4 linked regions of the Diceros bicornis minor genome follow. The protein of the gene in region 2 binds, or shares a complex with, the protein of the main gene of each other region. Links are inferred from orthologs where the notes say so. Each region holds a gene or a part of one and is shown on either strand. Other genes may lie near its edges. The genes, in order: GTF2E2, POLR2E, POLR1C and TAF1C.

What was found.
Region 1: POLR2E (region 2) and GTF2E2 share a complex: the UniProt entries of both Homo sapiens proteins name them as parts of the TBP-based Pol II pre-initiation complex. The link is inferred for Diceros bicornis minor from reciprocal best matches to the Homo sapiens genes POLR2E and GTF2E2.
Region 3: POLR2E (region 2) and POLR1C share a complex: the UniProt entries of both Homo sapiens proteins name them as parts of the pol I pre-initiation complex. The link is inferred for Diceros bicornis minor from reciprocal best matches to the Homo sapiens genes POLR2E and POLR1C.
Region 4: POLR2E (region 2) and TAF1C share a complex: the UniProt entries of both Homo sapiens proteins name them as parts of the pol I pre-initiation complex. The link is inferred for Diceros bicornis minor from reciprocal best matches to the Homo sapiens genes POLR2E and TAF1C.

What each region holds. Positions count from the first base shown.
Region 1 is NC_080768.1:28,325,907-28,333,750, forward strand, and holds the start of GTF2E2 (transcription initiation factor IIE subunit beta), read right to left. Parts: upstream 3,004-7,844; 5' UTR 2,832-3,003; intron 1-2,831. UniProt on the Homo sapiens protein: Recruits TFIIH to the initiation complex and stimulates the RNA polymerase II C-terminal domain kinase and DNA-dependent ATPase activities of TFIIH. Both TFIIH and TFIIE are required for promoter clearance by RNA polymerase.
Region 2 is NW_026691553.1:615,380-623,188, forward strand, and holds the start of POLR2E (DNA-directed RNA polymerases I, II, and III subunit RPABC1), read right to left. Parts: upstream 3,013-7,809; 5' UTR 2,962-3,012; coding exon 2,905-2,961; intron 1,131-2,904; coding exon 956-1,130; intron 1-955. UniProt on the Homo sapiens protein: DNA-dependent RNA polymerase catalyzes the transcription of DNA into RNA using the four ribonucleoside triphosphates as substrates.
Region 3 is NC_080753.1:22,256,436-22,263,264, reverse strand, and holds the start of POLR1C (DNA-directed RNA polymerases I and III subunit RPAC1), read left to right. Parts: upstream 1-3,816; 5' UTR 3,817-3,839; coding exon 3,840-3,908; intron 3,909-4,031; coding exon 4,032-4,103; intron 4,104-4,390; exon of another isoform or gene 4,391-4,792; intron 4,793-5,539; coding exon 5,540-5,647; intron 5,648-5,901; coding exon 5,902-6,034; intron 6,035-6,323; coding exon 6,324-6,443; intron 6,444-6,533; coding exon 6,534-6,686; intron 6,687-6,829. Other genes in the region: protein YIPF3, read right to left, coding at 155-268, 463-594, 752-844, 982-1,027, 2,358-2,464, 2,658-2,855, 3,449-3,529. UniProt on the Homo sapiens protein: DNA-dependent RNA polymerase catalyzes the transcription of DNA into RNA using the four ribonucleoside triphosphates as substrates.
Region 4 is NC_080771.1:33,271,687-33,279,342, forward strand, and holds the start of TAF1C (TATA box-binding protein-associated factor RNA polymerase I subunit C), read right to left. Parts: upstream 3,008-7,656; 5' UTR 2,860-3,007; intron 500-2,859; 5' UTR 499-499; coding exon 361-498; intron 1-360. Other genes in the region: ADAD2 (adenosine deaminase domain-containing protein 2), read left to right, coding at 7,527-7,656. UniProt on the Homo sapiens protein: Component of the transcription factor SL1/TIF-IB complex, which is involved in the assembly of the PIC (pre-initiation complex) during RNA polymerase I-dependent transcription.

The sequences.
Region 1 (7,844 bases), on a different chromosome or scaffold from region 2:
GTATTTATTCACTTACTCATTCACTCAAAAAATCTTTAATTAGAGCCTATTATGTGCCAAGCACTTTACTAGGCACTAGTAAAGAGAAACAGAATTATTCTCTAAAGCTCGAGAACTGCACTGCCCAACATGGCAGTCAATGGCCACATGTGCCTATTAAGCACCTGAAATGGGGCTGGATTTGAGATGTACTCTAAGTGTAAAATACATCAGATTTAAAAGACTTAGTACAAAAAAAAGAACTTTTAAAATTACTAATGAGATATTTTAGACTGATTACATGCTGACATGATAATATTCTGAATATACCGGGTTAAATAAAACATTAATTTCCCCTAATTTTCTTATACTTTTAAAAGATATACGGCTACTAGAAAATTTTAAATTACGTGTGTGGCTCACACTTGCAGCTCGCGTTATGTTTCTATTGGACAACGCTGCTCTAGAAATAACATCAGGACTACCAGGCAGAAATTAGGAGGCAGATTTATACTCATTGCAAAAAAAAAAAAAAAAAAGAGAGTACCATCATAATTGCTTATAAATGACAAGGTGTATTTTAAAACTAGTGAACTCTCTATTGTTAAGTGATGAAGAGGCTGGACTAATATTTGTTAGAAATATCTACAGAAAATTCCCGATTTGGAGAGAGGTGGAGCTAGACCTCTTCGAGTTTTTTTCCCAGTTCTAAAACTCCAATTCTAAGCAACTTCAGCACAACCAGGGAAGCCACAGGTAATTTAACAAAAATTTTTTAATGTTCCTCTCTTGTCTGAACTCTCTCTAGAACCCTGTGGAGAGTCCAGGAAGTGTACAAGCTGACTATTTAAATTACATTTGCACTGTTAAAACTAGTGTTCATAAATTGGGAAGGAAGGTCCTAGAGGAAAAAGACTAATACTTTGAAAGCCTTCCAGCACAGGGTAGTTCAATATTTGTTAAATGAACAATGAACACAAAAACATCTTTAAATTGCTCTGGCCTCATTGTTATTGGTTTCACAAGCCTTTACAAAATGTCTTCTGTTTGTGAGGCACTGTACTCCAAGCTTTGAAAGGTTCTGGAAAATAAACCCTTGTCTTCAAGCAGCTTACATTTGAGAACACGAACACATTGAGCACCTCGCTTAAAAAGCATGGATAAATAAAATGTGACTTAGAGTGCCAAAAGTTAAAAACATAAGCACTGGTAAGAAATAATCAGAGTAAACTTCAGTTAAGTAAGGAAGAGTCACTGGCACTGGACCTCGAATGAAAGACCTGCCTTCTCCCCTCAGTTCTAACCCCAACAGCAACTGACCAAAGGCAATCCACTAGACCTCTCTAAATCCAATTTTTTTTATAAGTAAAGTGAGGATACTACCAATGCTGTCTACATTTAGCCCAACTGTAAGACTAAAACGAGAAAATGTTTGTGAAAGCAACTTTTTAAATAGTAAAGCTATACAAATACATGTTATTTCAATATTACTATTTTGAATTGCATCTGAAAAATAACAGAATGATATTATACTGGGGTGCCGACAGTAAGAGATGGGGGAGGGAAAGTGTGAGAATAAGAGAATTCACAAGTGATGAGGTGGGGGCAACAAGCCTAAAACAGGAAACATCTGTATCTGTTTATTTCACCTTGTAAAGACAGGTAATCGATCCAGGCTTTTAATCACGATTTTAACACATTTAAATAAGAGGCTTATGGTTCACAAAGATCTAAATCCTTACAGCATTTGATCCTCACAACTCTACGAGATAATAGGTACTAGTTTTATTCCTATTTTAATATGTGAAATCTGAAGTGAAGAGGTAAAGTTAAGGTCACAGAGCTGGAAGTACCTGGACCAAGACCCGAATATCCTGACTCGTAACTCAAGTGCTCCATACTCCAGACCTGAAATGCTGGTAAAGGGAAAGGCCTCTCCAACAAAGGCGACCTGTGCAGGACAGGTACCGTTGAATGGCACCCATCGCAGAAGGCTTCATGTCTGTCTGTCACCACCGCATGCTCCGCCTAACTTTTCCTCCTTTTTTCTCAGAAGACTACTCAGTATTCGTAGTGCTTTACATGCACTGACTTGTGTAGTAAACAGGCCACACCACTCTGCCAATTTACATTAAAAAAATACCACCGCCACAACTCAATGAGTGCACGTGTTCCTCCACGGATGCACATGGAGAAGCCAAAACTTACATCAGAATCTTCTGGCTCCGAAGCCCACGTTCTTTCCACTACATCATTCGAGTTCTTTCAACCTTCCTACTTTTCCTCTCTTTTGCTTCTTTCCCAGAGGGGCCCGTGGCACCTAAGACCCCTGCTATGAGCAGCTGGCCAGATGAGAAAAGAGACTGCTCACCTCCGAAATGACAGAAATGTAGCGGTAGACGCAACCTTTTTGTTTTAGAACACGTCTTTAGACCGCAGAAAACAACTATTATAACCAAAGTTTAGGAATCATTACAAGGCAGCTTTAAAAATATAGTCCGTGAAGGAGCATCTAAATCACAGCCTTGAGTTGGTGGGACACCGTGGTTCCCCACACTCCACACACAGGGTTCGCTCGGCTCCTGCTAATGTAAACTGAGGGCCAGGAAGAGGCACAGTCAGCTATCGGACTGTCGATTTCCCTCTTTCCAACCCAAAAGTTTGCTCCATGAATCTCCAGCCTAAAAGACAATGCTCCCAAGAAGTTGTTGCCGTGTGTAGGTGTTTCGCGTAGGGCACGGCGGCCCCAGCCTCCCGAGGGGTGGGAGAGACGCTCGCCCCGCGGGGGTCGGCGTCCCGAGGAACAACAGGCCGGGGCTCCGCGCCCCTCACCCGGCCGCCACAGCCCCTACCTGAGCCAGAAGGGCCGCCCCACGCGCCCCGCCGCCGCCTCCCCGCGCCTCCGCCCGGACCAGCCGCCCACGCCGGCTTGGCCACCGCTTCCTGCTCCTCGTCAGCGCCCCCGCCTGCCCGCACGCACGCCCAGCGCTGCCCCGCCAGCTCGGGGTCTCGGCACTGGCAGCGGCGGCGGCGGTGGCTGAGGCGGCGACTCGGCCCGGGGCTCCGCCCGCCACTTCCTGAGCAAGCTGCTAGGAGCTCAGTCCCGGCAGCCACCGCGACGCCTCCGCCGCCGAGAGCGCGCGTGCGTCATCACGTGCCCCGCTAGGGATACCGCGGGAGAGGGCTCAGCCAGCTGGGGCGTCCCGGGTCTCCTTGACAACGCGAAGGTGGCTGGGGGCGGGGCGGAGAGCCGGGCAGAGGTAGGAGGCGAGGAGCGGCCGCTAAGATGGAAGAAATCTTTCTTTTACAGAAATTTAGACCTACTAGATCCTCCTCCAGCGTGCTCTGGAATCTGTTTACCCAAGTAGCGACGCGATTTTTCAAGTTATTGTCTACCAGGTGTTTTGTGACATCAAATGCCACTCACCAGCACCTAAATTTCAAAGCACGTTGTTCCAGCGCTCTTTTACAAGTGAGAAAGCAGGAGGCCCCGTGAAGCTAAATGACTTGCTCGTGACAGCGTAGCTAGCGAAGACAAATCCTGACGTGAAGCCGTTTCTGAACTCCCAACCACACATCTGTGAACTCTCTTAGAAAAAGCATTTCGGGTTCAGAAGCAACGTAAAGGGGTAGAAATAAAGTGACGAAAAAGATAATTGGCCTTGCCACAGCCTGCAGTGAATTGGAGTGCGTCAGATTTCCCACGGCTGACCTTTCCTCACTTTTATAACTTAAAACAGCAGCATAGCCAATGCTCAACTATTCTGTAGCTGTCGTTTAATTAATTAGTGCTGATTACTCCTCAAGTTACTTAACCTGTGTCTTGGTTTTCTCATCTGGGAAGTTGGAATAATTGTACTATCACAGTGGGTTACTTGAATTGGACTGTTGTGAAGATTAAATGAGATAATAGATGAATTTTTATTCAAAACTTGGAAATAAAGCCAAAAGATGATTGATTGTGTGGCTTTTTAAAGTTAGTTTCATTCTAGGATTTTGTAATAAACCCACTTGATAATCATCTGACACCGTTAGGAAATTTAACTTCTTTTGAATAACAGTTTATTAAGGCCCAAATGTTTTACAGCCCACTATAATCAGAGATTAACTGGTAAAAAAAAAAAACTGATGAGGTGTAATGAGGAGAAGGAGCAGGAGCAGGTATCCAGTACAAAAAATAATCCCAAAGGTTAAAATTGCGTTGTCCTGAGAAATGAGTCAGTGTTGTATCAATTCATTAATTTTTATTTCATAGTTCCTTTCCTCAATGATTATATAAACTCCAGTTTCTCATATCCTCATGGAATTAGTTCTATCATTCTGCTGGCTCCCTTATTAATGAGTGAGAGACTTAATATACAAATAGACAATGGCTAGATTATATGTGATGATAAAACTCTGACCCACATAAGAAACCAAGACACAACCTCTGCAGCAATCAGCTCAGAATGGTCAGGATTTGCTCAAAGGCTGCCAACTTCCCTATTTTAGCCCCCACCCCCCAACACATACACCCCCCCCACAAGATCACCAGAGAAAAACAAATACACTCCCCAAACCAATCACACAGATGCCCCACTTCTAGTTACTCCACCTCCAGCTTCCTCTGCCAACAACCTTTAATCAGAACGTACCAGAAGCATCCTTTTTTTTTAGTCTATAAAACTTCCCAGTTCCCTGATTGAGTTTGAGTTTCTGCCAAACACAAGTAATGGTGGCTGACTCCCTTGCTATAGCAAGCTCTGTAGTCTCTATTCTCATTTGAGTGGTCTTCATTTATTTCCATTTGTGTTAAATAAAACTTTAACACATGCTCATTTCCTAGTCACTTGAGAATTATGAGTTTCACAATTAGAGAATCAGGCTTTTGCAGAACTAGATCTACCACATGGAAAGCACTTAATGAACTGTTAAAAAAACAGAGGTACATTAAAATTTTGAATATCTTATTTGAGAAAACATCAGTTCAAATTGGGGAAGCCCAAAACCAAAAATGTTTAGGAGCTCTCCACTGACAGGAGCTAGGGGAGAGGTTTTTATAGAGAAGACTCCGAAGCAAATCAAAGAAAGTCTTTGATTGGCTGTAGCTTAAGTCATGGCCTTATTTGGGAAAGCCTAGTTGGCTGTTTGTAATTAGTTGTTCTTAAGTTTCGTTTCCTTCGCTTCTGGTCTATTGACTCTGGCATAGGTTTCAGTTTGTTTATGTAGGCTACCAAGGCACTAGAGCCATCTCAGTCTAATGGATTCATTGTTTACTTTTAAAGAATGCTCATAATTATTCTTTTATTTCAATGGCTTGTCTCATTTCAGCCAGTTGGGACAGATATTGAACACAGCTAAGCCTTCTAATGCCAATATTAGAATATGTTATTCATAATCCAAACCCCCATCTCAGTTGCCCATCCTTTACCCAAATCTTAGCTGTTATTACTATCATTGCCAAACTTGAAACCCTCCCATACACGTGCTAGCAAACCATTAAAGTATATAGACGTTGAATGTTGTCAACCACTGAAATCACTCCTGTTCACAGTGCCTATGGCCTGTGACTAAGTCCTAACACTAAAAGCAATGACTGCATTCATTCAAAACACTTTTGGGTGATAGCCTGTACTCTGAAGGTACTCCTCAACTGAAGACAAAAGTGGGCTCCGTATATCGCCATAATCAGGCCATTTTTGTGTCAGAGGTACTTACACATGGACACCACACTAATGAACTAAAAAAGGATTCTCTTTGTCTGCTGACAATGTTGACTACGACAATGACCAACTTGACCATTTCCAAATGTCAGCCCAAATTAGCTTGATTTCAGAGAATTCAAGATTGGGGTTAAACATATGGATTTTTATTCTGCCTTCTCATCCTTGTTACACAATAAAGACATCATCTGGGGGTCGGCCCGTGGCGCAAGCGGTTAAGTGTGCGCGCTCCACTGGGATGGCCTGGGGTTCACCGGTTCGGATCCCAGGTGCGCACAGACGCACCGCTTGACAAGCCATGCTGTGGCGGCGTCCCATGTAAAGTGGAGGAAGATGGGCACGGATGTTAGCCCAGGGCCAGTCTTCCTCAGCAAAAAGAGGAGAATTGGCAGATGTTAGCTCAGGGCCAATCTTCCTCACAAAAAAAAAAAAAGACATCATCTGGATTGCGTCTGAGGCAGCCTCTAGCTAGGGCTTAGGGAAAGCATAGGAAAAATATCCCACTCGGAGGTGAGGGACATGGCTATTTGTGTAATATACACAAAGTCTCCACCATTGATGCTTAAATAAACCTTTATAATAATTAAAACCACCTACATATTTGCAGCCTCAGTATTTCTAGGTCAGAAGGGTGTGGCTAGCATGAAATTATATAAAGAATGATTCAAGCTACTAATGCAATAGCAATCTGTCTTGTCGCATGAATGCTTATAATATCCTGCATACTCTTTGGTAGAAAGTAATGTGGCTTCTTCAGGGAAATATAATTTGTATATATTATAAAATATTCTTCTGTCCTGACCTATCCAAACCCTCCCACCTCAAAAAAAACAACTCAATGTAACCACAGGATTAATTCCAATTTAGTGGATTAATTTTTTTTACTGTTTTAATTGTGGTAAAATATATATAACATAAAATTTGCCATTTCAACCATTTTAAAGTGTACTACTCAGTGGCATTAATTACATTCACAATGTTGTACAATCATCACTATCTATTTCCAAAATTTTCATCACCCAAAACAGAAACTCTGCACCAATTAAGCAACAACTCTGCATTCCCACCTCCTCCCCCCAGCCCCTGGTAACTTCTAATCTTCTTTCTATCTCTAGGAATTTGCCTTAATTCTAGATATTTTATATAAGTAGAATAATACAATATTTGTCTTTTTGTGTCAGGCTTATTTCACTTGACATGATGTTTTCAAAGTTCATCCATGTTGAAGCATGTATCAGAACTTCCTTCTTTTTTACGTAGTGGCTTAATTTTACATTTTAATTTTTTACATTATGTAGTAGTTTTAAAGAGGAAAATTGAGGTAAGATAAAAAAATTTACTTCATTCTGCCATCAAATAGTAAGTGCCTTTCAACTCGCCTTACCTGTTAATCCATCTCAACTAACTAAATAGGTACCTAAATCTCAAAATAGCTGACGAGGCAAATTAGCTCACATCCGCACAAATCAAGAACTAAAGTAAGTACTTTGTTCATCATCTGTCCTGGATTTCTCTAGCATTAACAGTCTCTGCTCCCTTAGAGACTTTTCCCCTGCCTTCTGACTCAGCCTGCCTAATCCTGAAAATATCTTCCCAGGACCCTGCTTCCTTCTCAAGCATTCATCCCGTAAGGGAGGAAAAAAATATTTTTTGCCTCTACTCGTTTTAGGTTCTCAGGCTGGGGCCCTATAATTAAACTAGCAAAAGACAGATTATCAAGAGAAAAACAAGCAGAAGTTTATTAACATATGCATCACACACACACACACACACACACACACACACCGGAGTATCTAGTGATGAGTAACTCAAAGGGCTGATGAGAACTTGGGCTTATATAACATATTGACAAAAGAACGATAAATTTATAGAGAAGTGACAAGACTTTGAGTGAAAAGGACTTTGAGTTTCTAGGATGGTAAATTGTGCAAAGGCAACTATATGAAGAAACTAATGGAAGATAAGGGCTGGGTAGTAAAGTTTGTCATGTAGATTCCTCTGGTACCATCTTCGGGCTGATAAGGGTCTCAAGTTGTCTCCAGTGATTAACTTTTATCCTTCCTGGTAAAGAGAAGAGGGCAGACACCTTTACAAATTTATGTCCTACTTTCAGGCAAACGGGGAGGATGGAAAGCTTTTCTTGTATCTGCTTCTTCTCAGTTG
Region 2 (7,809 bases):
ACCTCCGGCCTCCAGCCCTGGGAGAGAACACACGTCTGCTAAGTCCCAGCCCGCAGTGTTTCGTTGGCGCGGCCCCAGCTAAGCAACACAGGTGGGAGCCTCAACTCTGCCCCGAGGCACGTCCGAGAGAAGCAGGACGCCCCCAACGTCACCAAAGACCAGGAAGTAGAGAGAGACCCCCAACTCCAGGGCAGCCCGGCCCCCAGGCAGGGTCTGGGGAGGCGGGTGATCAGGCCTCACTGTCCCCAGTAAACACGTCTCCACACGGGGGACACCGTTCTTAGCGCCACCTGGGTCTGTTCTGCAAACATTTTCTGCCCACTCCCTTGACTCCAGCGCCCCCAAGGTGCTCACGCCCCAGCGTGGCCCAACTCTGGCAGGCTTCAGAGCCAGGCTGCCTGAGTGCAGCAGGCGCAGAGACAGGAACGCGGGGGTCCTGGGACACCCCTCGGGGGGCTCTTCACTCAGCCCGGGCTCAGAGAGGGTCCTGGAGGAGACGGCACCTGAGCTGGGTCTCTAGGGACGATGATGGACACCGACCAGGCAGGGCGAAGAGGAACGGTGTGGTGAGGGGGATCGGCAGGGACAAGGGCAGGAAGGAGCCTCAGGGAGCAGCAGGCGGGGCTGACGGGGTGGGGGCAGAGGACACGGGTGGATCTGAGGTCAGGAGGGGCCGGGGGCCCAGCTAAAGGCCTGTGATAATCCTGGGCAGAGAAAACAGCCAAGGAGAAGAGAACAAGGAAGGGGACCAAGGAGACCGAAGCTAGACAAGGCACTGAGAGGGTTCAGAGATCAACGGCACCACCCTCCCAATAAGGAGGGCGAGGGGGATTTTCTTCCCAGAAAGACAAGGCCCAGTGTGGACTCTGGGCCACACAGCAGGCCCTCAGATGGCTCCACCAGAACCATGACCCCTCGCGGACACACGGCTGCCAGGGACCGGCAAAGCCCTCACCTGGGAAGAAGACGAACATCTGGTCGGTGGGGTCGTCATTGTGGGCCACCAGCACGGTGAGGTCCGTGCGCCGCGGCCGCCCTTCACTCGGCTTGTCCCCGAACTGGGCCTTGAACTCCTCCAGCGTCTGGTCCAGCTCGTCCTGGGTCACCAGGTAGCCACGGTCGTGGCACAGCTGCAGACAGAAAGAGTCAAGTGACCCCAGGGCAGAGAAGGCATAACAGAAAGAGGTGGGGCCGGACGAGGCCGCTGCAGAGGGCGCCGTGGGCAGTGTGGGGCCTGGTGCAGTGGGTGTGCGTAGAGGCCAGAAAAGGGAGAAGGGACGAGTGGAGACAAAGACCACGGGGCACTTGAGAGCCCCGAGCTGCTCCAGGTAATCGTGTGCGTCATCGTCTTATCCCCAGCCTCGGGGAGAGGCCCTGAGTGGGAAGCAGCGGCAGAGTTGGGCCCTGGGGTCTGGGGCAGATGGAGACAGCTGGGTGAGAGGGGCGTTGCTGGGCTGGCCAGGCAACTCCAGCTCAGAAACTGGGTGAAGGCCTGAGCGTGTGGGCTCTTTGACTGGGGTCAACTAGAAGAGGACAAAGATGGATAACAGGAAAGTCAGAGCTTCCCACCCCATCTCCTCCGTGAAGTCCCCACAGCCCGATTCTGCCTCCTGAGCCCTCATGTCTGCTCTCTCAGGGTCCCCAACGCTGTCAGCCTGAAGCACAGTTGTTTCAGCCCCTGTCTCTGGGGTCACTTTGCAAAGCAGTAGAGAAGCTGGGCGGTCTTGGTCAAGGCCATGCCCCACCGGGCCTCTGAGGGTCACACTGGTCCCTTCCCACAGGACGGCTTAAAGCAAGTGACAAACAGTGACTGCTCAACCAGCTGGCTAGTGTCACTCCACTCCGACCAGCCCCAGGAAGTCCAAGTTGGTGGCCGAGGCGCAAAAGCAGCCACCAAACCGAGAGATCAGAGACGGACATCCTCGCAGGACGGCACCTCAGGCCAGCTGACCAGAGTATCTTCCCAGCCCACGATTCTGGCATTCTGAGCTAGGCACGCGGGGTGGTGCTCCGCCTTCCAAAAACATCAATAAGCGGGACACCCAGTGTCTGCCGTTCCCCCTCTCCAACTCGAGGGAGATCTCGGCCCGGAGAGACAGCAAAAGTCTCCGCAGACCGCGCCCCCGGGGCCGCTCGGACTCTCGACTCGGCCGCTGGCCCCTGTGGGGTCGTCCCGTCCCCGCAGACCCCGGCCACCGGGCCGCTGGCCGCTATGGGGTCCCCCCATCCCCGCAGACCCCGCCCCCGGGGCCGCTCGGACTCTCGACTCGGCCGCTGGCCCGTGTGGGGTCATCCAGTCCCCGCAGACCCCGGCCACCGGGCCGCTGGCCGCTATGGGGTCCCCCCATCCCCGCAGACCCCGCCCCCGGGGCCGCTCGGACTCTCGACTCGGCCGCTGGCCCGTGTGGGGTCATCCAGTCCCCGCAGACCCCGGCCACCGGGCCGCTGGCCGCTATGGGGTCCCCCCATTCCCGCAGACCCCGCCCCCGGGGCCGTTCGGACTCTCGACTCGGCCGCTGGCCCGTGTGGGGTCATCCAGTCCCCGCAGACCCCGGCCACCGGGCCGCTGGCCGCTATGGGGTCCCCCCATCCCCGCAGACCCCGCCCCCGGGGCCGCTCGGACTCTCGACTCGGCTGCTGGCCCCTGTGGGGTCCCCCGGCCCCCGCAGGCCCCTGCCCCCGGAGTCCCTTCGTCCCCACAGACCCCGCCCGCTGCAGCCTCGGGGGCCCCGCCTGCCGACCCCTCGGCTCCAGCCGCTCGGGCGGGCGTGGGGGAGGCTCGTCCCCGCTCCGGGCCGTGCGCTCGCCGCCCGCCCCCCGGACCGCCGCGCGCCCGGCTCGCCCGGACCAGCGAGGCCCGCCCTCCCCGCGTCCGCCAAGCGGGGCGCCGCACGCGCCGCTCACCTGCATGATGGTCTTGCGGATCTTCCACAGCCGGTACGTCTCCTCCTCGTCGTCCATGGCCGCCGCCGCTCGCACTCACTGCGCGTGCGCTTGACGGGACCCGCGCCCACTGCGCCTGCGCCGAGCCCCGGTCAGGGCCCCCTCATCCGCCCCGTGCAGGGCTGTCGCCAGCGGACGCCTCACTACAGCGACCTTCGGGACCGGCAGCGCCAAGGGCAGCCCGAGCCTTCCGCGAGCGGCCGTTGGCTGCGCGAGAGGCGTGCGCAGGGCTCCTCCCACCAGCACCTCGGAAGTTCTCGCGTAGCTCTGACCGCAAAGCCTCTCGGGAGTTGTAGTTTCCGTTCGACGCCCGCTTGGGGCGGCGGTTTAGAATCTCAACAGGCAGAAACGAGGTGTGCGCGGGGAAACTGAGGCCTGCAGGGGGGCAGGGGTCTGCTTGCCTCCTAGGGACAGTCGGGCGGCCTAGGAAGAGCTCTATAAATATTTATGCATCCAACTGTAGGGCCGTCTCTCAGTTGGCTCTGGCCCACGTGCAACTTAACGCCCCCTAGCCTCAGTTTTCCCGTCTGTACAATGGAAATAATAAAGTGCCCATTGTAGAGGGTTAGCAGAGAATCGGAAGGGATGGTTGTGTTTGGGAGGAGCTTGGCATAGCTCCTGGTGCTTATGAAGTGCTCCCATCTCGGTCTTCCCCTGTCCTGTCCCCAAGCCCCGGGTCTCAGATATCCCACAGTGCCCTACTCCTGACTGTGCCTGTCTCATAATAAATAAGTGACAAAGTATGTTAGAAGGTGACAATGCTGCAGAAGAAGAGAGAGAGCAGGCTACGGGAGCTGGGAGGTTTGCAGTCTGCAGAGGGATGGTCAGGGGAGGGGAGGAGGAGAGTCCAGATCACAGGAGGAGAGGGAGGGAGCCCTGGGGATGTCTGGAGGAAGGTGTGTCAGGTGAGGTTACAGCCGGTGCAAAGGCCCTGAGGCTGGACCTTGCCTGATGAGTTGGCAGCAAAGAGGCCAATGCGGGGCAGGGGTAGGAGAGGAGGTCAGAGGGTGAGGCCAGGCAGGTCCCAGGAGGCCTTGTTGGTCAGGTTCAAAAGTTGGGTTTTCTTTTCAGCCATTCTCAGCGTTTCAGCAGGGCAGAGGCAGGGAGAGCAGGGAGGGGGCTGAGGAGCGAGTCCTGGCCAGGGATGGGGGTGGCTCCCGCTAGGGTGGGGTGAGCAGTGGGCAGGTTCTGGGTGTTCTGACAGCAATGCCTACAGGACGTGCAGATGGGCGGGACGTGGAGATGAGAGAGGGAGGGAGGAGGGAGCTGCCCTGACGGGGTGGGAAGACTCTGGAGGGGCCAGGTGCAGGGGGCAGTGTGGGAGGGGGTCCTGGAGGTGGTGAACTTGGGGCTCTCGTGGGACCCCCATGGGAGAAGGTGGGGAGGGGGTGAGATATGAGTCTGGAATTCAGGGTGAGGTCGGTGGAGATGGGAGCCCGGAGCCTGGAGGAGGTCACCAAGCAGAGCAGATGGCCGAGCCTCACTGAAGTTCAGGGGCCAGGAGGGGCGGAGGGAAGGAAACCGCGGCGGCAGAGGGTATCTCCCTCCCCCACTGCATTGTAGAACCTGGACGAGCAGAGCACCCACTTCCAAGTCGAGCAGGCCTGAGGATGGGGACGCTTGTGCCAAGCGGGAGTGCCAAGTTGGTGACCATGAGGAGGGCAGATCCAAGGAGGGGGCCTGCCCGGGGGGGTTACAGGAGCAAAGGAATTGGAGATGTGGATGTAGATGCCCAGGGGAGCAGAGGGGCGGAAGACGGAGAAGAGGATCAGGACTGGGTTTTAAGACGGAGAAAGGGCACTGAGGTTGCTGGAATGATGGGCAGATCTGGGCAGGGGGAGGGGGCAGACCCGCTGGAGCCTCGACAGGGCCATCGAGGCTGGGCCTTCAAGGAGGGGGCGGCCTGGACGGTGACAGGCGGAGGGCCCAGGTGCGGGCAGCTGTGGGCTGGATGTGTGGACGTTAGGTAGTCTTGCTGTTCCTCAGAGCAGGGAAGACAGAGGAGAAAGGGCTCATGGGGAGCAGCTGGGCCTCGGGACCCCCAGATGCTGGCAGAGCCCAACCACAAGGCCAATGATTCTGAGTCCTGCCAGTGACCCTGTGGCCTCAGCACCAGGACACAGAGTGGCATCCTGCTCCTTCGCACCCCTCACCATGCGGCCCTGGTGGAGCCTGAGGCCCAGAAATCAGGCTACCATCCACACACTCGTGGGTGGGAAGGTAAAATGGCCCAGCTGACTGGCGGAAAGCAGTCTGGCAGCTCCTCAAACAGTTAAACACAGAGTTGCCCTGTGACCCAGCAATTCTGCTCCCAGGTGCATTCCCCGGAGAAATGAAAACATGCCCACACAAAAACTTGTACAGCGTTACAAGCCTAAAGGAGGAAACAACCCAAGTGGCCATCGACAGGTGAATGAAGAAACAAAATACCAAAATATGCTCCACCCACACACTGGAATATGACGCAGCCATGAAGAGGAGTGAGGCCCTGACACAGCCACACCGTGGATGGACCTTGAACACACGACGCTCAGTGAGAGAACCAGACACGGAAGGACACACGGTGTGTGATTCCACTGATGTGAAATGTCCAGAACAGGCGCACCCACAGACAGAGAGTGGGTTCATGGTTGTCAGGGGCCAGGGAGGATGGGGGGGTAACTGTTGATGGGGACAGGGTTTCTTTTGAGGTGATAAGAATATTCTGGAATTAGTGGTGATGGTTGCACAACATAAATATATTAAAAACCACTAAAATGTACACTTCAAAGCGTTTAAAATGATGAATTTTATGTGGATTTTGTCTCCATTAAAAAAAATTTTTTTCTACAGAAGCCAGGCTACAGGACAGGCCCAGACCAGCCCTTCTTGGAGCTGGTGGACACTCTGGAAAGGCCTCTGGCTGGTGGGCACCTCAGCTTCCTCACTGGGGACACACAGGAACTGGCCCCAAAACTCCATTTCCCTATCTTTGCAAGAGGTCGCTGTGGGAAAGGCTGTGAAGCCCCAGGCACACACGCTCAGCAGAGCCGGGGGCGCTTCCCTGACCCGAGACCCGCGGCCCCGCCCCGCGGGCTCCTCCTCTCCTCCTCTGCTCTTATCGTAACTGGCACAGTCAGGAATGGGGTGCCACGCTTGGTCCATCACTCCCCCTCCCCCGCAGCTGTTTTTCTGGCAAGCCTGAAATATATAACCCTGACCGTGGCCATCTTCATAATAAAGGTGTAGGTCACAAGTGGAGCAAACAGCAGACAGCTGAGTCTTCCCAAGGGCCAGATGGACTGGCCAGTGCTGCCAGGGGCAGGAAATGCAGGGGGGGCTCCCTGAGAAGGGAGGCGGCCCAGCTGAGACAATGGGCGGGCTCCCTGCCAAGAGGCGACCCTGAGAACTTGGCCTCTGGTGGCCAGGCTGGAGGGAAGGAGCCACATGAAGACTATTGTGCAAGATGGGGATTGAAGCAACCCAGCCCTGGGGATCCTGGATCCTGTGCCTGCCCTGCCCTCTGGCAGGCCTGGCTCCAGGGCAGAGGGAGGGGGCTCATTGGCTCCCCCAAATGACCCCAGCCCGAGGAGAGTCCTGCCCCCAAGGCCTCTGCAGAAGTGTTCGTGGGAGAACGGGAAACGTGGACAGGCAGCGCAGAAGCAGAAACCGCGGGCCTGTCCACAGGTCAACGTCCAGTCACGGCTCGGAGGGGCGGGGGTGGCCCGGCCTGCTTCGGATCCCATGACTCAGTTCCCAGGAATGAGGTGGCCCTTTTTTTTCTGCCCTGCTCTGAGCCTGGACTGAAAATAAGCAAGTTTCTAGCCGAAACGTGGGGCCCTACGCGGCCCTGTGCGCACCTGTGCTACGTAAGCTTAGACATGGAAAGAAATCCCGTGGGTATGTTTCGTTGTAAGCACACACCTGTGCGTGCCTCGTGCCACCTCCCCGGGGCGGGGCCCCGAGGTGCCCGGTTACACGGTGACGGTTTCAATGACCCCAGGGCGCACCTGTCACCTGGCGCAGCAGCTGAAGCCACGGTGCCCGGGACGGTGCCGCACCGGCCGCTGCGCACCAAGGGTGGACACTGCGGCAGGAGCCTCCGTCCGGGGTCTCGCCGGGGTGACCCCCGGGCCTCGCGGGGCACCCCCGCAGCGACACTGCAGCTCCGAGGGGCGGGCGTCCCCACTCCCAGTGTGATTTTATTTACATTAAAAAGAAAACCCGCAGTTTTCAATGAGCTGGGGCGATTGTTCTGCGAGTTCGAGCCACTTCCACCCCCGGTGTCCAGTGGTATCTCAAGTTGTCGCGCATCCCGCGGCGCCGCGGTCAGCCACCCGGATAACTGGCCGCTACGCACCCACACGCCGCCTGCGTAGACGCGGCCGCCCGCCCTCCTGCCCTGCGGCGAGCATGCGCAGTCTCCCACAGCAACAAAGCCGCAGCCCCGCCCCGGCCCCGCCCCCGACCGCCCCTCACCCCGAGTTCCCATTGGCTGGCGCCACCACGTGCCCGCAGCGCAGGAGCGGCCGACCAATGAGGGCGCTGGTGGGCGTGGCTGAGGGCGGGGAGGCGAGGCGCGCCGGCGCGCGTCCATTGGCCGGCTCGGCGAGGGGAGGAGCCGCTGCGTCCGAGCGCCCCCGCCGCCGCCGCGATGAGCCTGAGCCGCCTGAGCCGCCTGCTGAAGCCGGCGCTGCTGTGCGGGGTCCTGGCGGCGCCCGGCCTGGCCGGCGCCATGGTGAGCTCGGCGCCGCGGCCGGCCCGAGGGCCGTTGGGGCGGGCGCGCGGCCGCGGTGACCGGGGCGGGGGGCGTCCGGCGGGGAAGCCGTGGGGGGCCATCGGGGCGGGGGCGCGCGCGGGCCGGGGGCCCCGCGGGTCCTGGGCGGG
Region 3 (6,829 bases), on a different chromosome or scaffold from region 2:
AGTGTGGAGATGACACTCCTCCCTGGAGCAGAACCATCTTTGGGCTCCTCCCTCCCATTGAGAGCCCTTTGTGGGGTTCTGCCCGAGCTCTGGGCTGTTTAACCCAACTCCCTGAGAGGACAGCCCACCTCTGGACACCTCTTGCCCAGCTTACCATGCGCAGGGTGGACAGCCCCCCCACCAGCAGCCAGAAGAGGTAGAAGAGGGCGTGGAGGTGGATGTTATAGGTGATGAACAGGACGATGCAGTGCCCAAAGAGGCCGTAGCCCTAGGAAGGAGGATGGTGGAGAGGAAAATCACTCAGGTTGGGCTGGCCTAGACCCTCATGGGGACCCTGACAAAGAAGTGGTCCACTGGCCAGCTCACCCCACTCCATGCCCTGGGGCCCCAAGACAGATGCAGACCAAGGCCTAGCTACTCTTTTAAGATCACCCTTGCCCACCACCATGCGGGACTCCTTACCAGCAGTGCCAGCATCTGCAGCATGGTGATCTGGGCATTGCACAGGTAGGCGAGGAAGTAAATGAAGGACGAGACACCCAGCCAGTAGCCGAAGCAGGTGCCAATGGCTGTGCCCATCAGGGTGCCCTCCCGCTGTGGGATGAATGCTCTACTTAGTCCTGGGAGGCCTCTGGTCTCAGCCTCCCCCAGGGCCTTCCTCAGAGGCTGCTGCTACCTCACTCCACCATCGTCTCCTTGGGCAGCTTTCAACTCAGTTCAGCCACCCCCCAAAGTCCTCTGTCCTGCTTACGATAATGGTGTCAGATGTCTTCATCCCGTGGAGGAGGATGGCAACCAGCGTGAAGACCAGCATGAGAGGTCCATAGAGCTCACCTGCGATTTTCTGTCAATATACCAACTCACTCAGGCTGGAGAGTACAATGGCCCTTCTGTTGATGCCTTCCCATGCTTTGCCTGGTGGCCCCACCCTCTGCCCTAGTGCCTCCCCGGGCTCTTCCAGACATGCTACCCCCTATTCACCTGGGGGAAGTTGACCATCTTGATAGGGATCATGGACTCCAGGAGCCTGGGAGAGGAGAGGAGAGATGAGAGCAGAGGCAGCACTAGGCTATGAGGTTCTGGAGGGCCTGAATCTTATTCATCTCTCTAACTCCAGAGAACATGCTGGATGGTAAAGGGAGAAGAGAACAGTAAAGATGGACAAGGAATGAGGGAATCACTTCCTTGCCCCTAAAAATGCTTCCAGGAAGGACAACCCTCCGATGCCGTGCTGACTGATGCAACAGCAAAATGGAGAACTCAGCCCAGCTGGGCCTCAGGAGAAGGCATGATCATTTACCTATTTGACCTGCTCCCCTTTAAAAGACAGGCAAACCCCAGGGGAGAATGCCCAGAATTCAGGGCTGTGAAGGTGAAGCCCTGGGAGAGGTTTACAAGGAAAGGTTTTACTTGAGGGAGCCAGTGTGCCTCCTGCCTCTTCCCGCTTACCATTTCTCCAGGCACTGCTGAGCATGTTCTTTAAAATATAGCTAAGTGGTAAAAACGTCCAGGCAAAAGGAAGAAAAAGTACAAGTCACTCCCTCACCCTCTTCTTAAGCGGGTAGCTCCTAATAATACCTTGGATTCTGGCTAGATTTTACTTCCTTTGGCAAACCTGCCTTGTCCCACCCTCCAGCCTACTCTGGGTCCAGGTGATCCTCCCGTGTGCCCCATCATAGCACATGAGTGCTGTATTGTAACTGCACTTGAGGGCAAGGCTCTCATCCATCTTTACCACTGAATCAGACATAACTACTAAAGTGCCGGGCACAGAGCAAGTGCTTCATAAAGCCTTGCGGAGTGGTACTGGGTATTTGATAAGCATTGGTTACATTAATGGGTAAACAAAGAACCAAGCCAAGATTAAATCCAGTTCTTGAAAAGTCATTCAACAACTATGCACTGATGTTCTGGTTCAGAGACTGTTGTGGTGCTGGGAATAAAAAAATAAAACAGAGCCTGCTTTTGAGGTGGAATCTGGGGACACAGACACAGGAATAAGAAAGTACAGCTTGGCTGAAATTTTATCTGCTAGAGGAAAGCAGAAAGATCTATAGGACCACTAGGAGAGGACAAAAAGGATGGGGATGAGGAATGGAGAACAAAGGAAGTGACATCTGAGCTAGGTTTTGAGGGAAGATGAGTAGTTTGCTAGATGGAGAAGAGGAAAAAGGCAATGCGTTATCCCCATGTCCTGTTCTATGACGGGTAAGAGGTATGGTGTGGCTGGGCACAGGTGCAATGATGAGGCCTGCGGGGGTCATGAAGAGGGGAGCTTAAGACTTGGTATCTGGTTGTGGTTTGGATGAAGGACTAGGTGTTAAGAGGGCAGCTTCTGTCAGGAGAAGAATCCTCACCTGCTTCGCACCTGGGCAGGCTCCACATCAAAGTAGGGTCTCAGGATGTCGATGTTGGCGTACAAGCTGAAGGCCCTGGAGGCTTGTCTCTTTCCTGCCTGCCACATCTGAAGTAAGGAAGACGGGGGTGGGGTGGGTGGGTATTGTGAGACTCTTGGCTCTAGGCCTTGTAGCTTATTTTCTGTTGGATTTCTACATGGTTCTAACTGGACAATCTGGGGTGAACTTCAACACCAACTCCAGAACCTGGGGCCTGCTTAGGTATACTTTTCCACCTGCCAGGGATCCACTCTTGCTTACCTGATCAGCCACCTGCCTGCTCAGCTGTCCCTTAAAGCCCTTCATGCCCAGGAACTCCCCATCCTCTTCTTCAGCAGCAGCTGCATCAGCATCTACTTCTTCCTCGCGCAGGCGCTGATGCAGCTCACCCATGTCCTCGAAGCTGGAACCTGAGGTATCATCCATGTTCTCCATGTCAATCACAGCCGAGCCCCCACCCTGTGAAGACAATGGCTCCTAGAGTGCAGGACCTTTCTGCTCCATCCATTAAGTCCTCCTCTGTTCATCCCAGGGTTTGGGGCCTTGTTCTGTCACTGCTGGGGATATGGCTTGGAATCACCACAGATCATGCCACTATCTTCCCCTGTTTTGCTCTCAGAACGCTTGGTTGGTTGGCTCTCTTCTTGCCTGGGAAACCTACTCCCTGTCTTCCATACCTGTCTTTGTCCTATCTTCCCTATCAAAGCCTCAAAGGGCTCCAAAAGTGTCCATTTCCTTTGTCTTTCCCAACCCCTAAACGAGGCTGCGTACACAGTATGGTTTTAGCCAGCGCCAGTGGACCCCGACCGACCTCCTAATTGTTCCGAAAGAGCGGGCGAGCCCAGAGATCTGAGGCCCTCCGGCTGGAGTACCAGTCTGGACCTTTCAGGTCAGCACTAGCCCCACTGCCTTTCGTGTGCACGAAGACCCAAAGGAGAGCAAAAGGGCTGCAAATGGAGCAGACGTCCAGGCTCCGAGGGAGGGTCCCCACGACACTTCAGGACGGCTGCCGGCCCTGGGGCTGCTAGCAGTCGGAGCCTTGGGGCCATTACCTGGATGTTTTCTTCGAACCCTCCCCATTCTGGGCCAGCCCCGTTTCGGGCGCCCCCGGCCGGCGCCGCCGTAGTTGCCATGGCCCTCGAGAGCCCCCGTCGCTGAAGCCCGCGCTGGCACCGAGCGCGGAGTAGTGGGAGAGACGTGGGACTGACGGAGGGAGATGTCCAGGGACGAGAGAGAGAGAGGTGGGACCCACCGGAACGCAAAAGAGACGAACCCGGATGTTTGGCCAAGACTGACTGCCGGAAGTTGGGGACGTGGACGGAGGCGGGGCAGAATCTCGCGATATTTAAGATTCCAGGAGGTGGTGCGTTGCCACGGAGACGGAGGAGGGCGACTAGAACGCACGCGTCAGTTTGCTGCTCTAGTCACGTGCAGAGGTTGAAGATGGCGGCGGCGCAGGCGGTGGAAGAAATGCGGAGCCGCGTGGTTCTAGGGGAGTTCGGGGTTCGCAATGTAAGCCTTGTGCCCTTGACCTCGGGAGGAGAAATGAGAGCGAGACAGGGATGAGTTTGGATCGATGTGGGGACAGACTTGGGCTCGCTGCCCCTTCGCAGCAGACTCGTCTCTTTGCCCTAGGTTCATACCACCGACTTTCCCGGTAACTATTCCGGCTATGATGATGCCTGGGACCAGGACCGCTTCGAGAAGGTGGGTGGGGCCGGAGAGGGTATGAGGAACGGACCGTGTGATGTGAGCAGCCCCTCCCTTACAAGGTGCCCTTGGGGGTTCGCTCCGTTCATGAAACGTTTATTGAGCAGTGTGCTAGGCACTCCGTGTGCACGGTTTCTGCCCTCTTTTGCGAACAAGAAGTTCAGTCTTGTTGGAAAAGAGCGCGCGTAAACAAATGATTCCAGTATGATGTGGTAAAAGCGGTGAATAGCAGTAAGGAAGACTGCGGGTGGGGTGAGGGGTATCCCACAGAGGCACTTAATCTAGAATGGGAAAGGGGGCAGAGGTATGAATGATTTCCTTCCTGAAGGAGATGACATCTGAATTGAGCTTTAAACGGTGAGTGGAAGCTGACGACAGCGAAGGGTGAGGAAGGACTAAGAACAGAAGCTGAATTATAAAGGCCTTTGTGAGCTGTGCTCCGGGTATGTCCAAGCAGTTAATTATTGCTAGAATGTAAAGCGGGCCGGCGTGCATAGGAATAAGGAGCTTTTGAAGAGCTCTTAAGTAGAGCTGATAAGATTTGCAACTTTAATGGTTGGGAGAGAATGAATCTGAGGATCATCATATGGGGCAGGCAGATTTGTGATAGAATTGTATAGGGAGCTGAGGTTGAAGGCATGAACTAAGATTATCATCACGGAAATAGAGCAAAGGAGAGAGAGAAGGTGAGTTTGGTGATTGCTTTGATATGGGCCGTGAGGGGGAGCGTGAGATGATCTAGCTCGGGGAACTGCTTTGATGGATGGTGGTGTCCTTTACTGATGAGAAATGGGTCTGGGGGAGGGGAATGATGATGCGTTCCGTTTCCTGCATGTGGAGAAGTCTAGAAGGCTAGTAGAATATATGTTTGAAATAAGATCAGAAGTGAGATATAATGTGAGGAGTTGTTAGTACAGATAGTTGCTAAAACCATGAGTGTGGTCAGGTCACTCTGGAGAGAGACAAAAACCTGGGAAATAGTAACATTTATGGGGTGGGTGGAAGATAGTGAATTTAGGATTCATCAGAAAAAGAAGGAAGAGAACCAGAAGACTGGTGCTCAGAAATCAAGGCAGTAGTTTGAAAAGAGGGAGATTCTAGCAACAATGCCAAATGCAGCAGAGGAGTCTAGTAAGATAAGGGTTAAGTAGTGTCACATGGAAGCCTGTTCTTTAGTAGAATAGCCTCCGTGGATGGACTGGCTGGAAGCCATATGGCAGAGGGTTTTAAATGAATGAAAGGTAAAAACAGGAAGACTTTTCAAGAAACTAATAAAGGATTGGAGGAGAAAGGAACATCTAATGAGGGACATCTGGGCCAAGGGAGGTTTTTGGATGAGAGAGAATGTTAAAACGTTGAGAGGAAGATCCAGAGGGTAGGTACCTTGTTCTATAGAGAACAGACTTCATTTAGTGCTTTTCCTGTCCTTTTAGAATTTCCGTGTGGATGTGGTACACATGGATGAAAACTCATTGGAGTTTGACATGGTGGGAATCGACGCAGCCATAGCCAATGCTTTTCGACGCATTCTGTTAGCCGAGGTATTGGTGGGCATGGTGGCAAGGGTGGACTTGTGAGGGGAAACGGTGCCATGGCCTCGCTTGGAGAATTATCTCAAGCCACCCCTCCTCTTTATTTTTCCTGTAATATTGCTGAGCATTTCTCCTCATTCTTTGAAAACTTTTTATCAAGCATTCTTCTAGGAAGAGGTCTCTCCCATCTCCCTATGTCAGGAGGCAGGGAGTAGATGGGGAGTCTATAAGATCTTTGTAGATGATTCTTATTTCTTGGGCAGGTGCCAACCATGGCTGTGGAAAAGGTCCTGGTGTACAACAACACGTCCATTGTCCAGGATGAGATCCTCGCTCATCGCTTGGGGCTCATTCCCATTCATGCTGATCCCCGTCTTTTTGAATATCGGAACCAAGGTGAGTGTTTGAGAAAGTGAAATTTTGGGAAAAGGCAAGCAGTTTGCCTGTGAAGTAGATTCTGGAATCAGACTGCCTGTGTTCAAATCCTGGATTGACTACTGCATGACCTTGGGCAAGTTACTCATTTTTTGGTACATCAGTTGTTACCTGTGAGAACACTTGCCCTTGCCTTCCTCAGTTTGTCAAGAGGATTAAATGAGAAATGTAAACAACGCACTCAGTATGGTGTCTAGCACTCAAACGTTGACTAGTTCTTTAAGAGCTGCCACCTCCCCCCTTTCTGCAGGAGATGAAGAAGGCACAGAGATAGATACTCTGCAGTTTCGGCTGCAAGTCAGGTGTACTCGGAACCCCCATGCTGCTAAAGATTCCTCTGACCCCAATGAACTCTATGTAAACCACAAAGGTGAGGAGTGGTAGGGTGAGGGAGAAGGCCCACCTGTTGGTGGGTGCTAGTTTTAGGGACTGAGGTCTTCTGATGTGCTTCTCCCCGCAGTGTACACCAGGCACATGACATGGGTGCCCCTGGGAAACCAGGCTGACCTCTTCCCGGAGGGCACTATCCGACCAGTGCATGATGATATCCTCATTGCTCAGCTGCGGCCTGGCCAGGAGATTGACTTGCTCATGCACTGTGTCAAAGGCATTGGTAAGAACTGTATGGGCTGCCCTGGGCAGGAGGGCAGTTCAGTTACAGTGGGGCCACGTGTGACTGAGGTACTCTGCTGAGGTGTCCCTGACAGGCAGAAAGCCAGTGGGCCTTTGCTGTTAGTGGCTTAGGGAACGTGAAGA
Region 4 (7,656 bases), on a different chromosome or scaffold from region 2:
CTCACTCAACTTAACTCTCAGTTCCACGGGGGCAGGGGTCACATCTGACTTATTCACGCTGGGTGCCCCCGGCCTAGGAAGGTGCCTGACACAGCACAGGGCTGTGCAATGAGTATTCACTGAACAAACAGAGGAATGAAAGGCCGGGGGAGGGGGAGGTAGGAAAGAGCAAGCCAACAGCTCCCGCTCACTAAACCCTCTGCGGATGGTAGGGCGCCCCACGTACCCCAAAGAAGGGGATTCTGGCTGAGTCTTAGCAGACTTATGCTAAAGCCACCCCACTCTGTGCTCCTGCTAGAAAAGGGGACCAAGTGAAGGTGCCCACCCTGGAGCCGCCAGGGCTCTCCCCACCATCCTCACCTCAGAGTTCTGGGGCAGGGACTCTGGCAGGGTCAGTGCGTCTCTCCAGCTGCACATGAAGGACATGTCAGGGACATTGCTCAGACCAAGGAGGCCGGTCCTAAACAACGTGGGGCGGAGGGAGCCGGGGAAGTCCATCCTAGAAAACAAGAGCCATGCGTCACACTGGTCTTCTCAGAGACCTGCATCTGACAGTGGCTTTGAGGGTTCCTGGGAGAGTGAAAAGTGTCGTAAGAGGGGTATACTTTCTCTTTGGGGAAGCAGATAATAAAGAACAAATGAATATACAACCTAATGCCAGATAGTAATAAGTGCTATATTAAAACCAATCAACCAACCGGGAGGGAGGGAATGGCAATGTGCTGAGGGTGTGGTTTTAGCAATGGTAGCCAGGGAAGGCCTCATCAAGAGGGGCAGGTTTGGCACAGCCTGAACCTAATGAGGGACAGAACCATGAAGACCATGGAAATAGGGTTCCTGGCAGAATGAACAACAAGTGTAAAAGTCCTGGGGCAGGAAGTGCTTGAGAAAGCACCAGGAGGCCACAGAATGAACAGGAGCAGAGGGGTAGGGGATGAAGTTAGACAGGTGGCGAGGGGTCAGCTTCCAATAAGCTCTACATATTATAATTACACATTTGAAGACTACAGGCCCTACGTCCCAGGCTACACTCCCAAGACTAACTCTAGTTCCCCCAAAGCCAGGGACTGAGTCTTATTTGTCTGTCTTCCCACTGTCAAGTACATACCTTCCAAAAATGCACTGACTGTATTGAATAAAACTAAATTTAGCCCAAAGGGCTTTGGTAAATACAAAGTGCTCTAGAAGCATAAGCAGCCATAGCATCCCTCTTTTTTATTAACCACAAAAATGACAGTGGTGCTCACTTACTGAGCACCAGCATCTGCAGCCATGGTACCACATGCTTTATTCTCCTTTGGAGTCCAGGAGACTGAGGCTCAGGAGAGAGCAGCCTGCCCAAGGCCAACGGCTGGATTCTGATTCCAAGTCCGAGGTCTGAACCACCGCTCTCCCGTGCATCCAAAAGCAAACCCGAGCTTTAGAGCCTTAGTAAGCAGAAATGCTTTCCTTTGGCGCTCCTGCGGCATCCTATCAGCTTATTCTGTAACCTCCACACATCCGTGTACCCTCACCATCACGCAAAGTGCCCCCATCACACAGTCAATACTTGTTAAATGATGAATACGTGTTTCTCACGGCATGTCAGCCTCATTCTAATTGTGGTTCACATGCACAGTCTTATCTTCTCCACTACACTGAGAGCTCTCCGCGGGCAGCCACTGTATCTGCTTCATTCCTGAGCTCCTGGTGTCTGGCTGCTGCTGCTATTCCCTTCTCCACGACAGAAGAGGACAGTGCCAGGAACCAAGGTGGTGATCAATGAATCCTTGTGAAAACGCCGGCTTCCACAGGACTGGCTGTACCGACTGCAGTTAAGGGGCACCCCAGCCTCCCAAGGTGGCCGCACCCCTGATAAGTCAGAGATGCACACACGCGCACACGCGCGCGTGCGCGCGCACACACACGTACGTCTCCAGCTCGTCTGTTGTGCCTGGGCTCCAATCACACTGACCTCCTTTGGATTCCTCCTCACCATACTTCTTTTCACCACAGGGCCTTTGCACACTCTCTCTCCACCTACAAGGAATGCGAGCGCCCTTCCTACCACCTCAAAATCCTACTCATCCTTCAGATTTCAAGTCAGGGAAGCCTCTCCCCGTTCCCCCAACCCTATCCTCCCACCACAGCCTGCATGCTTCCTCCAGAGCACGCACTGCAATGTGTCATTACATATTTAAAGATGCAACTGTTTGATTCAAAACCGCTCTAACAGTCCCCACGGGAAAGAGACTTTATATACCCCCAGGACCTTGGTATTCGCTACATGGTAACAATCAGTACATATAAACTGAAAAAGCAAATCCGGGAATGAATGAATGAGAGAAGAAAGGAACCAAACAGCCTCAAACAAACCCAGGCAGGCTGAGGGCGCTGGGCGAGCCCACGACCTCAGAAAGGCCCTTAGACAAGGCAGCCTCCGTTTCCCGCCTTCGCCCTCGGCTCGCCAGGCCCCTTTACACCTCCAAGGCTGCAGAAGTCAGTCGGGTCTGCACTAATGCCAGGCTGGGCATGACAAAAAGCGAGCCTGTCGCAAGGGTTGGGAGAGGGGATCCGGGTGTTCCCTCCCCTCACACAACTACTGGGCCGCGTCCTCCCCATCCACCTCCTCCCACTCCAACCCCAGGCCCCAGAATTTCAACCCGGCAACAGCAGAGGCCTCGCATCAAGCTTTGTGTGCCAGGCAGCGGCTACCACGCTTCACATCTGTAGGCTCCTCATCACTCCATGAGCTGGGGGCTGCTAATAAGCCGCTTTGCAGATGTTGGGCGACTTGTCCCAAAGCCACGCAGCTCGGGGCCCATGGACCTGAGCAGGGGGACCCTCCACTCCCTCCCGTCCGACGGCGCGCGCACTTACGTGGCCCGGGCCTCGCCGTGCTCGTCTGGGAAATGGACCTCCGCGCGCCGCTCGCCGGACCCCCGTGCCGCGAAGAAGCCCGAGAGCGGCCCCCTAGCCCCGGCGCCCTCAGAAGGCGGCCCCCACAGCAGCGATGAACAGTCTTCCCGGCCGGGCCGGAAGTGCTCCCTCGAAGACAGGAAGTCCCGCCTCCCAGCCTGGCCCCATGGTCGCCCTAGAGCGCCACCTCCCGGGCGGAGGGGGAATGGGAATGGAGGCTGCGTCGCGGGCAGTAGAAATCAAGCCTCGTCAAGTCCCAAAAGTGAAGGATAGGTTGACCGGGATTCGAATCCCACCTCTGCTTAACTAAGTTCCTATTTCACAGGATTGCTGTGAGTATTAAATTAATTCACTCAACAAACACTTACTGAGCACGTATGATGAGCCAGGCACTGTATGAGTCAGTAGGAATCCTATTGATTGTCATTATAGCCTATGAAGCGGGCTTTACAAATAGATGTACAGGTACCCCTGGGAGCGCATGAAGTTTTCCCAGTGGCCAGGCGAGTATAGCTTTAGGCATTGGTTCTGAAATTCCAGCGGGCATCAGCATCACCTGGAGGGCGTGTAAAAACACAGAGTTTCTGGAGCCCGCCCTGTGGCTTAGCGGTTGCGTGCGTGCACTCTGCTACTGGTGGCCTGGATTCGGATCCTGGGTGCGCACCTACGCACCATTTGTCCGGCCACGCTGAGGCCACATCCCACATACAGCAACTAGAAGGATGTGCAACTATCACATACAACTATCTGCTGGGGCTTTGGGGGAAAAAAAAGGAGGAGGATTGGCAATAGATGTTAGCTCAGAGCTGGTCTTCCTCAGCAAAAAGAGGAGGCTTGGCATGGATGTTAACTCAGGGCTGATCTTCCTCAAAAAAAAGAAAACACAGAGTTTCCCATTCAGTGAGTCTGGGGTGGGGCCTGATAATTTGCCTTCCTAAGTTCCCAGGTGATGCTGATTCTGCTTGTCTGGAGGGGTCACACTTTAAGAACAACTGTGCAATCATAAATCATACCGTTATCCTAACCCAGCAGTTCTAGACTTCAGCGTGCATCAGAATCCCCTAGAGGGCTTGTTAAAACAGTTCACTGGGCCCCACCTCCAGAGCTGCTGATTCAGTAGATCTGGGATGTGATCCAAGAATCTGCATTTCTAATGAGTCCCCAGGTGATGCTGATGCTGGGGGTCCAGAGACCACACTTTGAGAACCATTACTTTAAAGAATCAATTTCCAAGTTCTCAGCTTCTATGTATATGGTTTTTATCTGGGAGGTGCTCGGAATCAGATGGTTCTCCTTTCGCATCTCCTTTTTCACAATCACTTTTTTCCCCACTATGGAGTATTGCCTGAGAAGGATGCTGAACAAAGGGGCGATTCCAAAAAGCAGAGTTCCTATAGGAGAGAGTCCCTATAAGACCAAGAAAAACAGGCTCAGTAAGGAGTAATGATAGAAGGGTGCGGGGGGCGGGGCTTTTGGGGGCTGACAATATTATGTTTCTTCATCTGAGTGCTGGTTACACGAGTGTGTTCAGTGTGTGAAAATTCATTGAATGATCTGTATGCTTTTTGGTATGGATGTAATATTTCAGTAGTCTTTTTAAAACAGAAAAGAAAAAAAGAGGAAAATACTGCTGGTTGTGACACTTGATCTCATTGAGACTTCAGCCTCTTGGTTAGACTCCATGCCTTTTCAGCTATCTACCTCAGAAATAGAATTCAGAAGTCACTCTATGAAGGCAGGAATTCTTCTCTCTGTGTAGGTCACTAATGTATCCCAAACAACTAGAAAAGTAGATACTCGATAAATATCGAATCAATGGAAGAGGGAACAAAATGACATGGTTCCTCTGAGAAAATATCAACACATTTATTTAAATTGAAAAAATGAAGTCAGACTGTTTCTGATAGGAAAATTCTGGTTTAGCTGATAGGTTTGACTACGATGGTAGGCTTTGCCAATTAGGGCACATGGAGAGCGTTTTTCTTTTCTTGTTTTTTTTTTTTGTAAGAAAGATCAGCCCTGAGTAACATCCATGCCAATCCTCTTCTTCTTCTTTTTTTTTTTTTTTGCTGAGGAAGACTGGCCCTGGGCTAACATCCATGCCCATCCTCCTCCACGTTATATGGGATGCCGCCACAGCATGGCCTGACAAGTGGTGCATCAGTGCGAGCCCGGGATCCGAACCCGGGACTCCAGCAGCGGAGTGCGCGCACGTAACCGCTAGGCCACAGGGCCAGCCCCTGGAGAGCATTTTTCATAAATGGAATAAGCTAAGTCCGCCTCTCCATGGTTTTGGTGAAAATATATTGAAAGTATGATTATACTATATAATAAATCAGAAATTACATCTTTTGTAACTATTTAAGCTTGTGACTAAAAAATTAGTGATATATAATTTTTCAAAATTATTTTAGAAGTATGTATGCAAAAGAAATTGAAGACCATTTATATTAGTTTCCTATTGCTGCTATAACAAATTACCACAAACTTAGTGGCTTAAAAGAACACAATATCATACAGTTCTGGAGGTCAGAAGCCTTAAATGGGTCTCACTGGGCTAAAATCAAGGCGTCACTAGGGCTGTGTTCCGTTCTGGAGGCACTAGGGGAAAATCCATTTCTTTGCCTTTTCCAGCTTCTAAAAGCTGCCTGCCTTCCTCAGCTTGTGGCCCCCTTCCATCTTCAAAGCCAGCAATGGCCAGCTGAGTCTTTCTCATGCTGTCATCTCTCGGATTCTGATCTTCAGTCTCCCTCTAGCCCATTTAAGGACACTTGTGATTACACTGGGCCCACCCAGGTGATCCAGGATAATCTCCCTGTCTTAAACTCAGCTGATTAGAAAACTTAACTCCATCTGCAACCATAATACCCCCTTGCCACATGATGTAACATATTCATAGGCTGTGGGGATCAGGACATGGATATCTTTGGGGGACCATTATTTTTCCCACCACACCACTATTCCCCATCACCCCAGGAGACACCCATCCAGCTTCTGGGCTGGGAGGCCAATTTCATTTCTTCCTTCCTTTCTCTAAACAAGCTGTTTGGTTTCCTTTCGTTACTGATGTATACTTAACATGCAGTAAAATGCAGAAGTCTTAAGTGTACACCTTATCAAGTTTTTACATACATATAAACCCACATAACCACCACCTAGATCAAGGCAGAGAACATTTTCATCACTCCAGAAAATTTCCTGGTGCCGCTTCCCAGTCAATACCCCCTTCAGAAAGCAACCATGATTCTGACTCATCACCAGAGATTAATTTTGCCGGTTCAAGACTTTATATAAATAGAATCAGGCAGAAAATAGTCTTTTTAGTCTGGCTTCTTTCACTCAATATGCCTATGAGATTCACTCATTTTGTGCATGTAACAGTATTTTGTTTCTTTTTATTACTAATAGTCTCCTGTACGAATATATCACCTCTTGTTCATGCAAGTTCCTGTTGGTGAAGTTTCTGGGTTTGTGGACTCTGTTAAAGTCTCTTTATGGATGTGTGCAGCCATCATTCCATTTCTGAACACCAACTGTGTTCCATCTACTAGGCCTAATTTTGCTCTCTGGCTGGGCTACACATGAAAAGAACAGGCTTGTTCTTTCTGATGTCAATTCTGAAACATTCGGGAGATTGAATCTACTCTGTCCCCCACACCTGCTCTTCCCAAATCAAATGTCCCCAGTTCCACCAACCCGTCCTCAAACACTCCAGTATCCACACTGCCACAATCCTGGTCAGCATTGTCAGACCCAAAGGTAGCAATCAGCAGCAGCAGCAGCAACAAAGGTGACGAGTCTTACAGACTGTGAACTGAGTATCGGTCATGTTTTCCCGGGGAACTGGCTCCTACAAGACGCAGTTACATTTTCTGCCCCCTTCCAGCAATTGTGTTGCATCATAGCAGGCCATATGTAAACTGTCTTCATCCGTAACTTCATCTTATTTTTGTTATTTCTCCTTCATCCCTAGTCTCTCATCTTAAAGAATAGCTGTCTTGTGGTAGTTACTCAAAATCCCTCCTGACAGGAAAAAAGGGGGGCAGAGTGCCAAATGGCTAACTTGGCTCGAGAGCACTTCCGGTTGGCTTCAGGAAGGCTACAGTGAACAGTTTTCAAATGTAGAGCCTAGAGATTCTGTGGGGCCGCTACATTTGAGAACACTCTCATTTACCTAATGAGGACCCCCAGGCTCAAGCGGCTAGGGGTGGGCTGGCGTGATGGGGTGCGGTTTGGGGTGGCCTAGAACGGGAGCAAGGGTGAGGTGCTGGACCCGGGCCCGCAAACCTCCTTCCCTGGCCTTCCGTTCGCTAGGGCAGATAAGAGGCTGACAGGAGCGACCTGGTCCTTCGCCCAACCCCCCGACCCGGCAGTGGGCTGTTGGCCAGGCGGCCATACCGTCTACATCCGGGCTGCTGCTGTTCGGCAGACTGTCCTTCCCATTGGCTGGGCGCACTGTCCGCCACAGCTCTGTGGGCTCTCATTGGTCAGCAGTGAAGTGGGGCGGAGCTCGCCGGGTGCTGTCGGCTGCGCCGCGTGCTCCTCACGCGGACCCAGCAGGGCGTATAAAAGAGCAGGGGTGGCGTGAGAACCTGCCTCTTGTCCCTTGGGGGTCCTCGCGTCTTGTCATGGCTTCAGCGGCGAGTGCGGCCCCGGGCTCGGACGACAGCGGCCGCAGGAAGCCCCGCCTGGCAGCGTCTTTACAGATCAGCCCCGGGCCCAGCCCCAGGCGGCCCCCAGCCAGCCTGGGCCCAGACC